2 linked regions of the Oreochromis niloticus genome follow. The protein of the gene in region 1 purifies or fractionates together with the protein of each later gene. This does not show direct contact. Links are inferred from orthologs where the notes say so. Each region holds a gene or a part of one and is shown on either strand. Other genes may lie near its edges.

Evidence for each region.
Region 2: the proteins of wtap (region 1) and ddx39b purify together in Homo sapiens (affinity purification with mass spectrometry; 3 studies listed by BioGRID and IntAct, with this or other methods). This does not show direct contact. The link is inferred for Oreochromis niloticus from reciprocal best matches to the Homo sapiens genes WTAP and DDX39B.

Annotation. Positions count from the first base shown.
Region 1 is NC_031980.2:12,346,607-12,354,835, reverse strand, and holds the start of wtap (pre-mRNA-splicing regulator WTAP), read right to left. Parts: upstream 3,253-8,229; 5' UTR 3,048-3,252; intron 2,474-3,047; 5' UTR 2,466-2,473; coding exon 2,436-2,465; intron 2,309-2,435; coding exon 2,253-2,308; intron 2,155-2,252; coding exon 2,096-2,154; intron 1,943-2,095; coding exon 1,815-1,942; intron 798-1,814; coding exon 619-797; intron 1-618. Other genes in the region: sod2 (superoxide dismutase [Mn], mitochondrial), read left to right, coding at 4,511-4,539, 5,158-5,363, 5,568-5,684, 6,134-6,313, 6,427-6,572. UniProt on the Homo sapiens protein: Associated component of the WMM complex, a complex that mediates N6-methyladenosine (m6A) methylation of RNAs, a modification that plays a role in the efficiency of mRNA splicing and RNA processing.
Region 2 is NC_031985.2:37,864,317-37,871,632, forward strand, and holds the start of ddx39b (DEAD (Asp-Glu-Ala-Asp) box polypeptide 39B), read left to right. Parts: upstream 1-4,274; 5' UTR 4,275-4,408; intron 4,409-6,734; 5' UTR 6,735-6,744; coding exon 6,745-6,967; intron 6,968-7,316. Other genes in the region: polr1h (DNA-directed RNA polymerase I subunit RPA12), read right to left, coding at 3,779-3,896. UniProt on the Homo sapiens protein: Involved in nuclear export of spliced and unspliced mRNA. Component of the TREX complex which is thought to couple mRNA transcription, processing and nuclear export, and specifically associates with spliced mRNA and not with unspliced pre-mRNA.

The sequences.
Region 1 (8,229 bases):
ATCTAGACTGTCCAAACAGTCTCTGCATTTCTCAGGCAGACTAAGCAGGTCTTTGTGTGGTCTATTCCACTGTTAATGTCTTTTTAACCCAAGTATGGGAATCGTCTTTAAAATGTTCAATTGCCGTTTTAGGCTAGGGATCCTCCCTGCCTGACTCAACCTCCATATTACCTCCACCATAACCCCCCTATTTAATAAGTGAACTGTCTGGTTTGAGCGGCGGGGGCAGGGAGGCCATATCCACGTCGGGAAGCGAGTGACCACCTCTTCAGGAACAGTCCGGACTCCTTCAGGCCCTTGGACGGTGAGGGGAACTCGAGGGGAGAGAGCTGAAACACAAGTGTCACCTGACCATACTGTCTTTTCTCTTTAGGTTATGTGATATGTAGCTGGCACAGTGCAAGAGTACAAAAACAGTTTGGGGTTTGTTTTTTTTTTTGGAGTGACTGGCTTTCTGTAAAGTCTGAATCTCGTGGTGAGTACAGCACTTTGTCAGCCTTCCCCCCCACCATTGTTCCTGCATGTCTGCAGTGAGAGTGAGGGTGGGGGGCGTGAGGAAGTCTTGACTTTTCTGTTTTGTTTTGTTTTTTTGAGGGGGATTATTTTGATTGTCTTTACCTATCAGGTGTAAATTTCCAGGCACTCAGTTCATTTTGGGCCTGCTCCAGTTTGTCTTTAGTCTGTTCCAGTTCAGCCTTCATTTTGAGGAAAAACAAGTTGATGGATGGGTCCACCATGGACGACCGCAGTTGGGCCACGCTCGGCTGCTGGACTTGCTTGAGGTACTGGATCTGCGTCTGCAGGATACAACAAACACATGTGACTGGCAGGAACAAATAAACAAGTGTTTTATCATGGTTCAAGAGAAAATTCTTGGGTTTGGCTCTGATCTCCAGTAGCCGTGTTTTTCCTCTTAAAAAATAAACAAAATGTGTAAAATTGGAAATCGCCATCTTCTGATGGCAACTTTTCTGCTAAAGTTATCTAAAGATGTGGACTCAAACAATTTAAGCATGTTACCTTAGAGCAACACTTGGTACCTACCATCTACAAAGTTTTCAAGACAAAATCTCTAAGTGACAATTACTTCCAATCATTTGACAGTTGCCTTTCCAGGCCCGGGGAGATCAGACTGGTCCAAAACAAATGAAACTCACCTGCCAAAGTTATGATGACATCAACCATTTTTGTTGTTGTTTTTTTGTGTGTGTGTGTGTGTGTGTGTCTCAAACACATTTAGCTTAAAATTCTGGTATTTCTGTTGAAAACTGTGTCCCCATGCTTTCCATTTCAATGTGACTGCAGGGTTTCCAAGTTTAAAGCCTGTGCGTTGAGCTCACCTCAGCTGCACTTTAAGAATGGCATGTGCTACCATAAAGCAGCTGTTTGATCCACTGAGCTGTCAATCTGGCAAGAGCAAAGGATGCCTTGGCTTGAAATAATTTACTTTTAGCCTCTTTTCCATGATCATGACAGTTTACTAAGGAAAGCTCTCTGCTGGAGTGTTGCAAATTATTCAATTCATTTAAATTTAGTAATAAAGTTAAATTATTTTGCACTTTGAAAACTTGTATTATTAAATTTAGAATTTAGCATAATAATTACCCAGTTTTGACATGTTTAATAGCAACCTGTAACATCATTACTCATTCACAAAGTTACTGATGTTCTTTTTGGTGAAATCTTAATGAAAGAAAGCTCATTTAAACATTATGTTAGAAGGGCTATATTCCTATAAGAACTATATCAAGTACTCAAACTGTAGTACTAATGGAAACTGAATGTCAAGCATAATTAGAGGAATAAATACATACTGTGCACTCTTGCATTTCCTGCTCCTTGGTGGCAAGTCGCATGACCAAGATGTTTTCCCTCCGCGCGGATTCCTGCTGCTGCTGCTTGAGCTTTTCCTCCGACTCCTTCAGCCCTGGAACGTCATTGGCTGAGGCGATAAAAGCGGTGCAGAAATGCAAAACATATCAGAAAAATTCCTTTCACTGACTGCCACAGACAGCAGCACCGGGCAAAAACATGGTGATTGTTGAGATGCTGACAAGGTTAAATCATAACCGTGTCTTATAGCAGGTGTACTTACAACATAGCTCCGCATATTTCGCCTCCAAGACCTGGACATAGGCTTCATGCTGTTTCCACCTGTGATGGGCAGAACATGTTTTAGCTGCTCATCCAAAACACAAACACCAAATTCCCCCTACCACAAAATAATCACCAACAGCAGAGCTGTTACCTACCTTGCACACAACTCTTCTCTGGTCAGAGTCTTCATGTCCGATTCACTAAGGCGAACCTGTGTGAACGAAAACCCAAGCACTGGTTACATAAAGAAACCCATTAGAATATTTGGAGGGTGGTGGGCAGGGTCGTGACACATAACAAATTACAAGGGGTACATTAGAATAAGAAAAGAAACTCACTTTCTTGGGTAGAGGCTCCTCGTTGGTCATTGTGAACCCTGTAAGTAAAAACACGACAGGAAATCAGCAGTAATTACAGCTTGGGGTTGTGTGCTTAAAGGACTGCATCATGTTTTAACGCGATGGCTATCAACACGCAGTACAATGTACAGCAACTCTGATAACTCGGTACAAAAGCTGTGCCTTTCAGCTAATAGATGACCCTGATGGTGTGTGAGGAACACATTAACTATCCCGCAAAACCAAATCAAAGTTAATATTAGCAGTTTATAAGAGCAGCCGAGCCTTGTGTTAGCTCGTGTGACAAGCAGCAGCAGCAACGGACCGCGAGAAATGGAAAATATGCTAACCAAGGTTAACACTGGGCTGCTAATAAGGTTTAGCTGTTTCCGTTAGCAAACTAACTACACGTAACGAAACAGCAGTACCGAGCTTCACTATTTCCCTATGTCCAGCCTGGCAGCATACAAGTCTTGGATCTGTTTTCCGCTCCTTGTTATCACAAAATGGCGGTGAAGGAAATGACTCCCTCCCTAGCACTCCTTTTCCTGAAACTAGCGGGCTCTGGGTGGCAGATATCGGGCCTTCAGCCATCAAAGAAAAATCACTTACCAGATCAGTTTCTTTCGATGTTTCTGGATCCTCTTGGTGTCAGGGGTTCTTTGTGAAACGAGAACCTGCGACTTGGTTAAAAATTATGGGGAAGTTATTTGTAGTCGTCTCGCTTCGGCGTGGTCAACAGCATCTTCCTCGCGGTCGACTAAACAGAATGGCTGTAGCTGGGCGCTGCGCTGCACTTGCCTTACTGCAGAGTTCTAGCACAGATAGAGGCAAAGAGCGAGACCTCTCACTCCGCAGCGATTTTAAGATCATAAAATGTACCCCTCAAATAACAGTAAACAGTAGATATTTTTTATGTGATTTTGATGAATTCATCCCCGCATTGCTATTTTTATTGTATTATTTTTAGCCTTAGTTTGTATGAATGGATGTTTTTAATTATTAACTAATGTATTTATGTTAACAAATGTATTTAAATATATACACAGCACAAAGCTCCCCCTTTTGTACTATTGGTAGGAGTAGTTTGAAGAAATACTTTTTTAATTATTATGAGTGTTCATAAACATAATTATTTGAATTAATTCATAAAAGAAATCTAGAGTAGAGAAATCCTTAGTGTGCCTTGACATTAGCCTTTGGTGCATCATCGACTGTGAGTTGTACCGAAACTTGTTTCTGCTGTTGAAGAAAGAAGTGTTTCTTTTTAGGATCTTGAAATGTAGACTTCAAAAAGACTAAAAAATAACTCGAAATTGTGAAATAATAAGCCATATTTTCTTTTTTATTTCTGTTGCAGAAATAACTTCCTGTTGTTCCATGAAGTTGACACTTCTGGTGCATGCTAGAATTGTTCTCAGTTTAGTGTCCACCAGAAGTGACACCGTGTTCTGAATTCAAACCTGAGGGTTTTCCCTTTTAAGCAAGCGTTGTTTGCTTCTTAGTGCGCCATTATTTTAATATAGACGATCTCCGCCATTGCCTCCACTGTTGTGGGGAGAACGTTCACGTGACTCTCTGCTGTTAGTTTTTTTATTTTTTTAATTATGCTTGTATTAATTATGTATTAAGAACTACTCCTTTAAATATATGCTTTGTTTTGCAATAAATAAACAGAGTGAATAGATTTACAATAAATGAAATATACGAGAAGAATTTTTTTTTTTTTTTTTCATAACAGTGATATAATGCACTTTTTTAAAGCTACGGAAAACCTACTAGAGGGAGGAGTTGCAAAATAATACAGAAGGTAAGGAGCTTTGTTTATTATTATTCCAGAGTATCGGGATGCGTTTTTAATACAGTCTCTCTCATCTGCCAAGTGTCTCTAATAATGTGTGTCGTTGTCACATGTAGCCGCTTGACTCCTGTGTTTATCCAATTCCCGGACACCCCCACAGCATAGATGTAATGGTACGGTCGCCTCCTCTGTCAACTTGAAATTGCACATTTCAAGGGCAGTTGTTATCAGCGTGTGTATTCCTTCATTCTGTCCATTGAACAGCATTAGGAACATGCTTTGCAGAGCTGGACAAATACGCAGGTAAGATTGTTGTCACTTGAGTATTTGGTGCGTGTACTGTGCTCAGAGTGCATACGGAATCGGGGCTCTTGACTTCTGCTAGCAGCAGTTGTTCTTGAACGTGACAGTTGCTTATTGATAGCTAGCAGTTAGCTAACCGAAATGCTAACTGGCAGCTCAGCTAGGTTAGCTTATGGCGCACTAAATACAGGGTTTTGTTTATTAAACGCGTAATCATCCTGTTATGAGCTCGTGCATGAAGTTATGAACCGAATGTCTTAATATTGAGCCAGTATCATGTGTTCAGTGAACTAATATGTAGATGACTGTGCTTCAAGAGCTGCATAAATCCAGTATCAACAACAGACATTTAGGTCAGTTGCTTAAGTAAGCTAAAAATCCTACCTCTGATACCCTGCAGGGAAGTAATTTGGTACGGCTTAGTTGCACAGCCCTGTCAATAGCTCCTTAGCAAATTACTCTTTGATAAGAAAACTATAGTTTAAAAGTAGTTCTGTTTGGTACATCTCAATTTCTGTATCCCTAAATAACTGAATTACAGTTTTCTTGCTGATGTCATGACATTTTCATGATGTCATGCCTTATTTCATGCTGTATTACTTCATTATTTCTTTTCAGGTGTGCAGCCAGCCTCAGCCACACTATTAGCAAGGTAGCTGCATCGAGGCAGAAGCATACTCTCCCTGACCTGACATACGACTATGGTGCCCTGGAGCCCTACGTCAGTGCAGAGATCATGCAGCTGCATCACAGCAAGCACCATGCTACATATGTCAACAACCTAAATGTTACAGAAGAGAAGTATCAGGAGGCTCTTGCAAAGGGTATGGGCAGAGTCGCATGATATTTCACTTCACATGACTCTAATTGAAAATGAAGACTTTAAAAGTAGTTGTCTATATGAAGTTGTAATTAAGATTCTGATATGTACGTTACAGTTTTTTTCCTTAAAGATTTTTCCCCCAAACATAAATGTGTAAGAGTTTGACAGAAGCTGTATGTTGTGTATATTTGACTTACATTTTTAGGAGACGTGACAACACAGGTTGCTCTCCAGCCTGCCCTCAAGTTTAATGGAGGCGGCCACATTAACCACACCATCTTCTGGACAAATCTCTCTCCAAATGGTGGAGGTGAACCACAAGGTAAGACAGAGAAATCCACAAAAATACAAAAAACGGTATATGACCAGACTAAGACAACTCATGGCCAATCAACTTGTTTGTCTTTAATCAGATCACTTGGTTTTTCTCTGAGACATGCTGACTCTTATTGAATGTGCAACTTAATTTTATGACTTGCTGAAAAGTTGATTCATATGGTTGCAGAGTTTTTTTAGTGTTACATAATGACTGAAAATTGCACCATTTCCTAATAACTGGCTTAAAGCTCAGTTTTGTTAATATGGAAATTGTCATGAAATTTGATCAGTGGCCATGAGTACTATTCAGAGTTGGGGGAATGGTTGCAGTCACCGAATTGTATCATCACTTGGATAAGTGCAACATTTCTTTCACTGAAAACACTCCAACCAAGAAATTTATGTGTTGTGCCATTTCACTGAAGCATACACATCTGTTTGACAACTTTGTAGGAGAGCTAATGGAGGCAATCAAACGGGACTTTGGCTCCTTTCAGAAGATGAAAGAGAAGATGTCTGCTGTTACGGTGGCTGTACAGGGCTCAGGCTGGGGGTGGCTTGGCTTTGACAAGGACAGTGGAAGACTTCGCATTGCTGCTTGTGCTAACCAGGATCCTTTGCAGGGGACAACAGGTCAGTTGGACTTTTTGTGATTTGGTGCATATAAATAAAACTAAATTGAATAAATGCGACTTGGCCATCTAACTGCCACATGGCCTTTTTGTATGTATTTTTTTGGCACTTAGGTCTCACTCCCCTCCTTGGTATTGATGTATGGGAGCATGCTTACTACCTTCAATACAAGAATGTGCGACCTGACTATGTGAAGGCTATCTGGAATGTAGTCAACTGGGAGAACGTGAGTGAGCGTCTTCAGATGGCCAAAAAGTAGAAGCTGATGCACAGCAACCACTAAGACTTGGATCAAACAGTAGTTGCCTGCATTGAATCAGAATTTAAAAAATCAGACTTATGACAGTTCAAACCTTCAGACGTAACTGGCATTTAAACTGTCTTTAAAATAATTTTGGGTTTTGTTTTTTTTGGTACATATATTGTACGTGAAAAAGCTGAAGCTAGCGGGCAAGTACTGTTTATCTCTGGTCTGTTCTCAACCGCTAGTAATTTTGAAAGCGCACAATAATGGACAACTTTAACATCAAAGCTGGCTTTTGCCATTCTCACATCTTATGAGTGGCATACCAGGTGTAAGATAACACGAGTGCATATTCAGATAGCTGTCTCAGTCAGGTTAAGCCACACTAAAATCAGACAATGTTATTGCAGTCCTTGTATTTGCTGTATGATAATAAAAATCAGAAATTGTAATAAAACAGTTGTAAAAGCTTGATTCTTCTTCTTTCTTTCCTTTTTTCATTACCTGTAAGATTCTAAAATTTCACTTTTTTTTTTTCTTTTTTTTTTCTCCCCCCCCCTCTAAGCTATAAGAGAAGCTGGAGTTAAAAATGCAGTTCTATACTTTATTTAGTTTAAATCCTCATGGCCCCATTATAGGGCAGTGTTGAATACTGGTCACTGAGGCTCATGTTTTCAAATGCGTTTTAGCTCAGTTGGTGTTAAAAGATGGATGTCAACATTGTATTGTGTGTAGGTTTTATTTTTTTTCTCCTCTCCTGTCTAATACTTTAAAGTTTCACCCAAGATGAGTTCAGTCCAATCAAGATTTAAATCCAGGCATTAAGTACCTTGATTTCTTAACAAAGGTCACATAAACCTCACGATTCTGTCAAGCTGAAAAATCTTAGGTTTTATGCCTACATCTGGTCATACTGCTGCTATTTACAATGTTCCCAGAAGAGGGCAGTGTTCCCTTAACATTTGTGCTTAGGCTCCTGCTGTGTATACAGGACTGTGCAAACTAATTTACAAAGAGCCAAATCTTTGTGGGTTTTGGTTCAATGAAAACTGGACAGGATGACTACTATCTGAAATTCATGTGAGTAGGGACAAAAACAAAACAAAGCCACTTGCTCTTGACGGAAATTTAATCAGAAATGGTCTCAGTGGAAGGATGGCTTTCCATGGGGAGAAAACACTGAGGTAATTAAAGATTAAAGACCTGTACAACAGTAAGTGTCTACAGCCATCTGTAAAACAGTGGAGGCTCTATCATGGTTGGAGCTTCAGTCAGTGGTGTTGGAGATCTTATCAAGACTGATGGAATTATAAATGCAGAAAAGACAGATTTTGATCCACCGTGCACTGCCACCTGGAAAGCATCTGATTGGCAATGGCTTCATTTTTCAGCATGACAATGATCCCAAACACACTACCAATATAGTAAAAGCATAGCTGGATAGGAAAACACACAATCAGTCATGCATTGGCCTCCCCAGAGCACAGACCTCAACATTATTGAAGCATTGTAGAGTGATCCTGACAGAGAACAGAACAAAAGGCAGCCAGCATCCAAACAAGAGCTTTCCTTCAAAAAGTCTGGAGAACTTTTCCTGAAGACTAAAGAAATGACAAGAAAACATGGCAAAGAGAGTTCAGACCACTTTAAAGACTAAAGGTGATCACACCAA
Region 2 (7,316 bases), on another chromosome or scaffold:
CTTTGGTAAGCTATGAAGGCGCACCGATTGATGAATTCCCAGAACACCGGAGCCTTATGGCTGCCGTAGTCAGGAGCCTTGCAGAGAAATCTGGGTCCAAAACTCCGTCTCCTTCAGGTCCCAAAGTCAAACGAACACTGCAGCATCACTGAGAGTTAAAAACTGTGTAAATTCTTTCATCTTTAATAAAATGATCAGCGTTGCTGCTTTACCAGGTGTAACAATTAAGCTTAACATCCAGGCATCCATGAAAACAGAATCTATTAAATTCAACGGAGTTAGAAGTTAGCAGGAAGTTAGCTCGCTAGTTTCCACCTAAAAATGATATAACATGTTCTGACTGAGAGATTTCTGAAAAAATTCAAACGTACAGCTCTGCTATCACTTCCAACATAAATGACATAAATTTCCTGTTGAGACAGGAAACTCAACAGCAGTGACTTTTGTAGGGTTACTGAAGTTGGGCTAGCTGGTATATAATGATCTTCTATGTGATCGCTAGCAACACAGCTACGTTAGCATAACATTAGCACAGTGAAGCTGAAGGATGAATGCTAACTTTTTTCCACTCGATAAAAGTTAACGTGAAGGTTCCTGATGGTTAGGGACAAATGCAATCCCATGGCAGGATGCTGTAAACGGACCAAACTTCAGTCAGGAGAACAACTGAGATAATCCATCCACAATACGAGGTTAGTCATTAATATACTGCAACAACATGGGAATAGAGCAGCTGCGAGGGAATTCAGCATTAATGACTCAATGATACGGAAGTGGAGGAAGCGCAGTTTTTGGCTTTCCCCATATTCCAAAAGTGCTTCATCTCTTTGCTATTACTGTCGTTGGCATAATTTGCAGATGATATTGTTTGCAGCCGCTGCGATGCTTTCGACCAAAACAGACGCAGCTTGATGACACCATCAACATGCGCTATTGCGGTAGTGCGGTATAGTCAAAATCTCTACTGTTGGCCAAATTTATATTGTTTCTACCGTATACCGTTTATACCGCCCACCCCTAGGCTCTTGTCTCGTCGACTGCTGCCTCAGATCCTAGTCTTTCTCCTATGTGCTCAGTTGTCTTAGAGCAGTTTGATCCTGTCTCCCTGAATGACTTGAGTGCGGTAGTTTGTAACTTAAGATCATCATACTGCCCCTCTGATTGTCTCCCCCCAAGTTTGCTTAAAAACACTTTTAATACTGTCGGGCCTTTTATCCTGAGATTAATTAATCTGTCCCTTGCTGTGTTCCATCATGCTTTAAACAAGCAATAGTTCAGCCTCTTCTTAAAAAAAAATAACCTGGACCCAACTGTTCTGTCCAATTACAGGCCAATCTCAAAGCTTCCTTTACTGTCTAAAGTTTTGGAGAAAGTGGTCTACTTACAGTTGCAGGCCCACCTTGATTTGAATGTGATTTCTGAAAAAATTCAATCTGGTTTTAAATCATTACATAGCACTGAGACGGCACTTTTAAGGATTTTTAATGATATTCTTTTAACTCTGGACTCTGGTAGCCCTGCTGCCCTTTTATTGTTGGACCTGTCAGCAGCTTTTGACACGGTCGACCATGACATCCTGTTATGACGGCTAGAATTTCATGCTGGCCTAAAGGGATCTGCCCTACAGTGGTTTCGGTCCTACTTGTCAGGAAGGTCTTTTTATGTCAATATGGCCCCCATAACTCCAAACTAGCCCCTCTTAAATACGGTGTACCTCAAGGCTCTATTTTGGGTCCTGCCCTGTTTGCACTCTATTTGTTGCCATTGGGTTCCATCTTCTCGTGTTACAACATTTCATTCCACTGTTTCGCTGATGATTTGCAGATTTATCTGCCTTTAAAAGCAGGGTCTGACCGTCCCCAGCTCTTATTACGCTGCCTTGACGACATCAAACAGTGGATGTCGTTAAATTTTCTAAAGCTAAATGAAAATAAAACTTAAGTTGTCATTTTCGGCAACTTTGTCAATAATCACATCGATAGCACTCTAGGCCCCTTTTCCTCCTATTGTAAAACACATGTAAAAAACCTTGGTGTCTACCTTGATGGTTCTTTTAAATTGAATAAGCAGGTGAGTGCAGTAGTCCAGTTCTGATTCTTTCAGTTAAGACAGCTGGCCAAGGTAAAGCCATACTTCCCGGCTAACGTCTTTGAACGTGTTATTCGCCTCTTCCTTACTTGCAGGTTGGACTACTGCAATTCATTGTATTTTGGTCTCGACCAGAACTCCATTCATTGTCTTCAGATGGTCCAAAATGCAGCTGCTCGCCTGCTAACTGGGACCAAACGGAGAGAGCATATAACCCCAGTTTTAGCTTCTCTACACTGGCTTCCTGTCTCCTACAGGATCCAATTTAAACTTTTACTTTTTGTTTTAAAGTCACTTAACGTCCGAGCCCCTTCTTACCTGTCTGAGCTCCTTTCTGTTTATGCTCCAGGAAAAACCATGAGGTCTAGCTCAAAATTAATGCTTTCCATCCCACGGACTGATCTCAAATCTCGTGGCGATAGAGCTTTCTCTGTGGCAGGTCCCAGACTTTGGAATAGTCTCCCCCTAAATATTAGACCTGCACAAACACTTGATCAATTTAAATCACTACTTTTTATGCCCTGGCTTTTAACACACTATGACCCAAAAATTTTTGTCTTATTTTAATAGTCTTAGTTATTGTTTTAATTATTTTATTGTCCTATCATTGTTTTATATTGTTATTATTGTTTTACATTGTCTCTTTTTAATGGCATTTTTATATTGTTAAGCACTTTGTGCAGCATCGTCTGTCTGGCTTGCTGAAGCATTAAGAGTTCCTTTTACTGGAAATAACTCCTTAAAAACAACCCCACACCATAATCCCCCCTCCACCAAACTTTACACTTGGCTCAATGCAGTCAGACAAGAACTGCTCTCCTGGCTACCACCAAACCCAGACTCATCCATCGGATAGCCAGAAAAAGAGGCGTGATTCATCAGTCCAGAGAACAGGTCTCCACTGCTGTAGAGTCCACCACTGCTTTAAACCACTGCATCCAGCACTTTGCATTCCATTTGGTGATGTAAGGCTTGGATGCAGCTGGTGGTCATGGAAACCCATCCCATGAAGCTCTTTACACACTGTTCTGATCTAATCTGAAGGCCACATGAAGTCTGGAGGTCTGTAGTGATTGACTCTGAGAAAGTTGCCATCCTCTGCACTCAGTGCGCCTCAACATCTGCTGACCCTGCTCTGATTTTACATGCCCCACCTCTTTGTGGCTGAGTTGCTGCCGTTTCCGATCACTTCTGCTTTGCTTACCACTACCAACAGCTGACTCTGGAATATTTAGTACTGAGGACTTGACTGGACTTGTTGCACAGGTGGCATCCTATCACATTACCATGCTGGAACTCACTGAGCTCCTGAGAACAACCCATACTTTCACAAATGTTTGTAGAGGCGGTCTGCATGCCTGGGTGCTTGATTTTATACACCTGTGACCATGGAAGTGATTGAAACACCAAATTCAGTGATTTGGATGAGTGAGTGAATTCTTTTGCCACAATACTGTATATTGAGCTTAGGAAAATACAATCACTTGCTGCAAGAAACTAAAATGATCCAAAGATGGACAGCAGATAGCTCTCAGATAGCTACTCTGCTTTGCCGTTTCATTTGTACAAGCTGTATAAATATCACAGGAATATCAAGATGGAAGTGAAATGAGAAAAACAAAAAGTGAGATAGCAGCAAAATCTCTGCTGCTCATGCTCACACTCGCATAAACTCTGATATGGAATTTACCTGATACAGGGATCCTAAAAGAGCAGCCGGGGCAGCACACTACGTCCGGTATTCCTGGGAGAGGAAGAACATTCCCACACTCTGGGCAGAAGTTGGGACCACCACCAAAACACGACATCTCTGTTTCATGTAAAGTATTATTGTTATACATTTTGATATTATCAATAACTGTAAAATAGTATCGAATAAAAATTTAGACTGACTTATTTTGCTTTGTCGATTCACATTTTAGAGCTTACCTTCCAAAATAAGTTAAAGCGGTAATGTTGTTTTGTTGTCTAACACTCACTGGAGCAAAACACCGCACGTGGCACTTGAACACGTGAAGTGCAGTCGATTAAATCTGTAACTGTCAACTAACGCTGTGTTCAGCTTTCGTCGTCAGCCTTAGGCTTTAACAAAAGACTTTGATGATTTACCGTTTAATGTCTTCACAGGATTGGCAATCTAAACAAGACGCGGTTTATAGCAAAGATTCTCTGTTGTTACTTTCAGCCTGACATCTGCATGGTTACACACCGTCGGGTCCTACAGCGGTTGGTTGTCTGTCGCGTTCTACACGTCATTGTGACGCGCTAACAGTCGCGCTTTACTTTAAACAGCCGTTGACTTTTCTCTCTCGTAGTGAAGGTATGTCGATTATTAAAAGAACTGTAGGCAGTGCACGTTACCAGTACCTGCGGCAACATGACTGTCACCTCTCTGAAGTTTAATGTTGAGCCGTGAGATGTTCCAGTGAGGATATGATGAGTTCTTTGTTAGCCGCTGAGCTAATTGCAGCTAGCTGTTTAGAATACTTGGAATTTGCTTTTACGGTTATTGCTAAAAAGGCCACTCGCTGTGTTTACGTCAGCTGCCGTAATATCAGACGAGCCCGAGTGAATAACAGACATCGGGGATGGTCCCAGTTTTATGGCGACCGTAGTTTCATGTCGGTTATGATCTGCAGTGTGATGAAGAAATCTTAAAGACATATCAGTACTGCTGGATTTGAACTTTCAAAAGTCAAAACATAACTGCGCGTGTGGTTATAGCTATTTAATATTCAGCGACAATAAAAATAAAAGTTCCGGAATATTCCTTCAAAATAGAAGCTCAAAATGAAACCAGGCAATTGTTTTTTAGCACAGTGGACTGGTTCATGTTTTCAACCTGAGGTGGTGGACATCACTGGAGTCCTTATAGAAATTCTAGCCTGCCGTACAAGTTGGTGCCTCATGTTAGACACACCACTATTCTGGCATTTATGCAATATAAATTAATTTTGCAGGGTGGCACAGTTGTTAGCACTGTTGCCTCACAGCAAGAAGGTCCTGAATTCAGTTCCACCATCAGGCAACTCCACTTTATGTGTGGAGTTTGCATGTTCTCCCTGGGTTTTCTATGAGTACTCCGGCTTCCTCCCACACTCCAAAGACATGCAGTTAGTGGGGTTAGGTTAATTGGAAACTCTAAATTGCCCATGGGTGTGAATGGTTGTCTGTGTCTATGTGTTAGCCCTGTGACAGACTGACGACCTGTCCAGGATGTACCCTGCCTCTTGCCCTAAGAAAGCTGGGATAGGCACCAGTGTGACAGTACCTGGTGTTAAGTATTCTGCTTTCACTCAAAACACTTTGTAACCTTTGTACACCTTTTTAGTTCTGATTGAATTCTTTGTACCAACAATTTAACAGAGTGCAGAAAACATTTTCTCAGAGATTGTGGCCCATGTGGACATCATAACATCACACAGTTCCTGCAGATTTGTCAGCTGCACATCCATTGTAGACTGTACTATTTTTACTCATATTTGTTATCATGCTGCTGTAACACAAACATGTGGGATCAATAAAATATGTATTTATCTACACTCATGTTGTTTGTGCTAAATTCTGACCCTCCCATGCAAGTGTTGTAGCAGACTCATCAAACCAGGCAACGGTTTCCAAGCTTCTGTTGTCCAGTTGTGATGATGTTGTTCAAGTTGTAGCCTTGCTGTTGTGTTGTTAGCGGACAGGACTGGCACCTGGTGTGCTCTCCTGCCTCTGTAAGCCCACTTCATTTATCTTATGTTTTGTTATGATGCATGTCTGCAAGTAGCTAAGCAGTTTAGCAGTCTGGCCATTCTCCTCTGACCTCACACATCAACAAAGCACTCCATGGATATTTTCTCTTTTATTGGACAATTCTCTGTAAACCCTACAAAGGGTTTACACTGGATTTGTGTGGGAAAACCTTAGCAGAGACGTTTCTGCAGTACTCAGATTAGGATACAGGGCGCCAATAATCAAGGTGTGTTCAAAGTCACTTAAATCAGCGTTCTCCCCCATTCTACAGCTCTGTTTCAACTGGAGCAGGTCATAGTAATTATCTCTAAACGCCTAAAAAGCAATTCATCATTTCTCAACATTGTTGACATTTTTCAGTGTATTTGTTTTCTCTCCCCTTTTTTCTCTAATTTTTATGTATTTTTTGAGGAGGGTGAAGAATCTTTTTTATTCTTCTCTGCACTATTTTGGTCTCTGTTTATAGTTTGTTTGGTAAAAATAGAAATGGTTCTTCTCTGAAACAGTGATGAGCTGCACATGTATGTCATTCATTTATACACTGGATTGTATGGAACGATGTCCTGCATGTTTCCAAGGGACTTGGAGACCAGGGTTAATGATGTATGTCTAATTGTCAGTATAATAACAATGAAGTTGATTAGGACTTGACTTTGGGAGGGGGGATTGGGCTGCTGCACTCAGAGCATGAGCTTGAGATAGCTAGATTAAGGACATTTGCTCTCACTGACGTCTCCGAACCAGGAGTGAAAAAAAACCTGAAGTCTAAGCTGCTGGCTCCTTTTTGCACACATGCTGACCCCAATAATTATAACTTTGGCCATGTTGATCCTTTTAGCACTGTGAAAGTTTAAAAGCTCTTTGTTCCTGAAGTTTCATACACCACATTTGTTTTTCTCGTTTCGCAGCAGGGTCAGGATGACAGAAAACGACGTAGATAACGAGCTGTTGGACTACGAGGATGATGAGGTGGAGGCCGGAGGGGCTGGAGATGTTGGAGGTGCAAGTGACGTGTCGATAAGAAAGGAGGGGGTGAAGGGCTCTTATGTGTCCATTCACTCCTCTGGATTCAGAGACTTTCTATTGAAACCTGAACTGCTGAGAGCCATAGTGGATTGTGGGTTTGAACATCCGTCTGAGGGTAAGTAATTGGTGCCAGGAGGAAAATGTGGAACTGGTACAACCATTGCTGAATTTAATCACCTTTTTATCTTCTCTCTGTATTTGAAGTGTCTGATAAAGATTAATGTCAGTTCCTCCTTTAACAGAGCTGTGGTGGGTTTGTGTTGGCAATGGTAATTTTAGTTACATAGCACATTTCATTATGCTCAAACTCGATGTGCTGAACACAGAAGATAAAAACATGAAAATCTGTGTAGGTTTATGTGGTGGGGCGTGGACTGCGGTGCCGTGCGGATGCACCTGCACAGCATCCGCAATCACGCTCACCGTGTTAAAACATGGGGACTCAGGGGTTGGTGGGGTTGTGG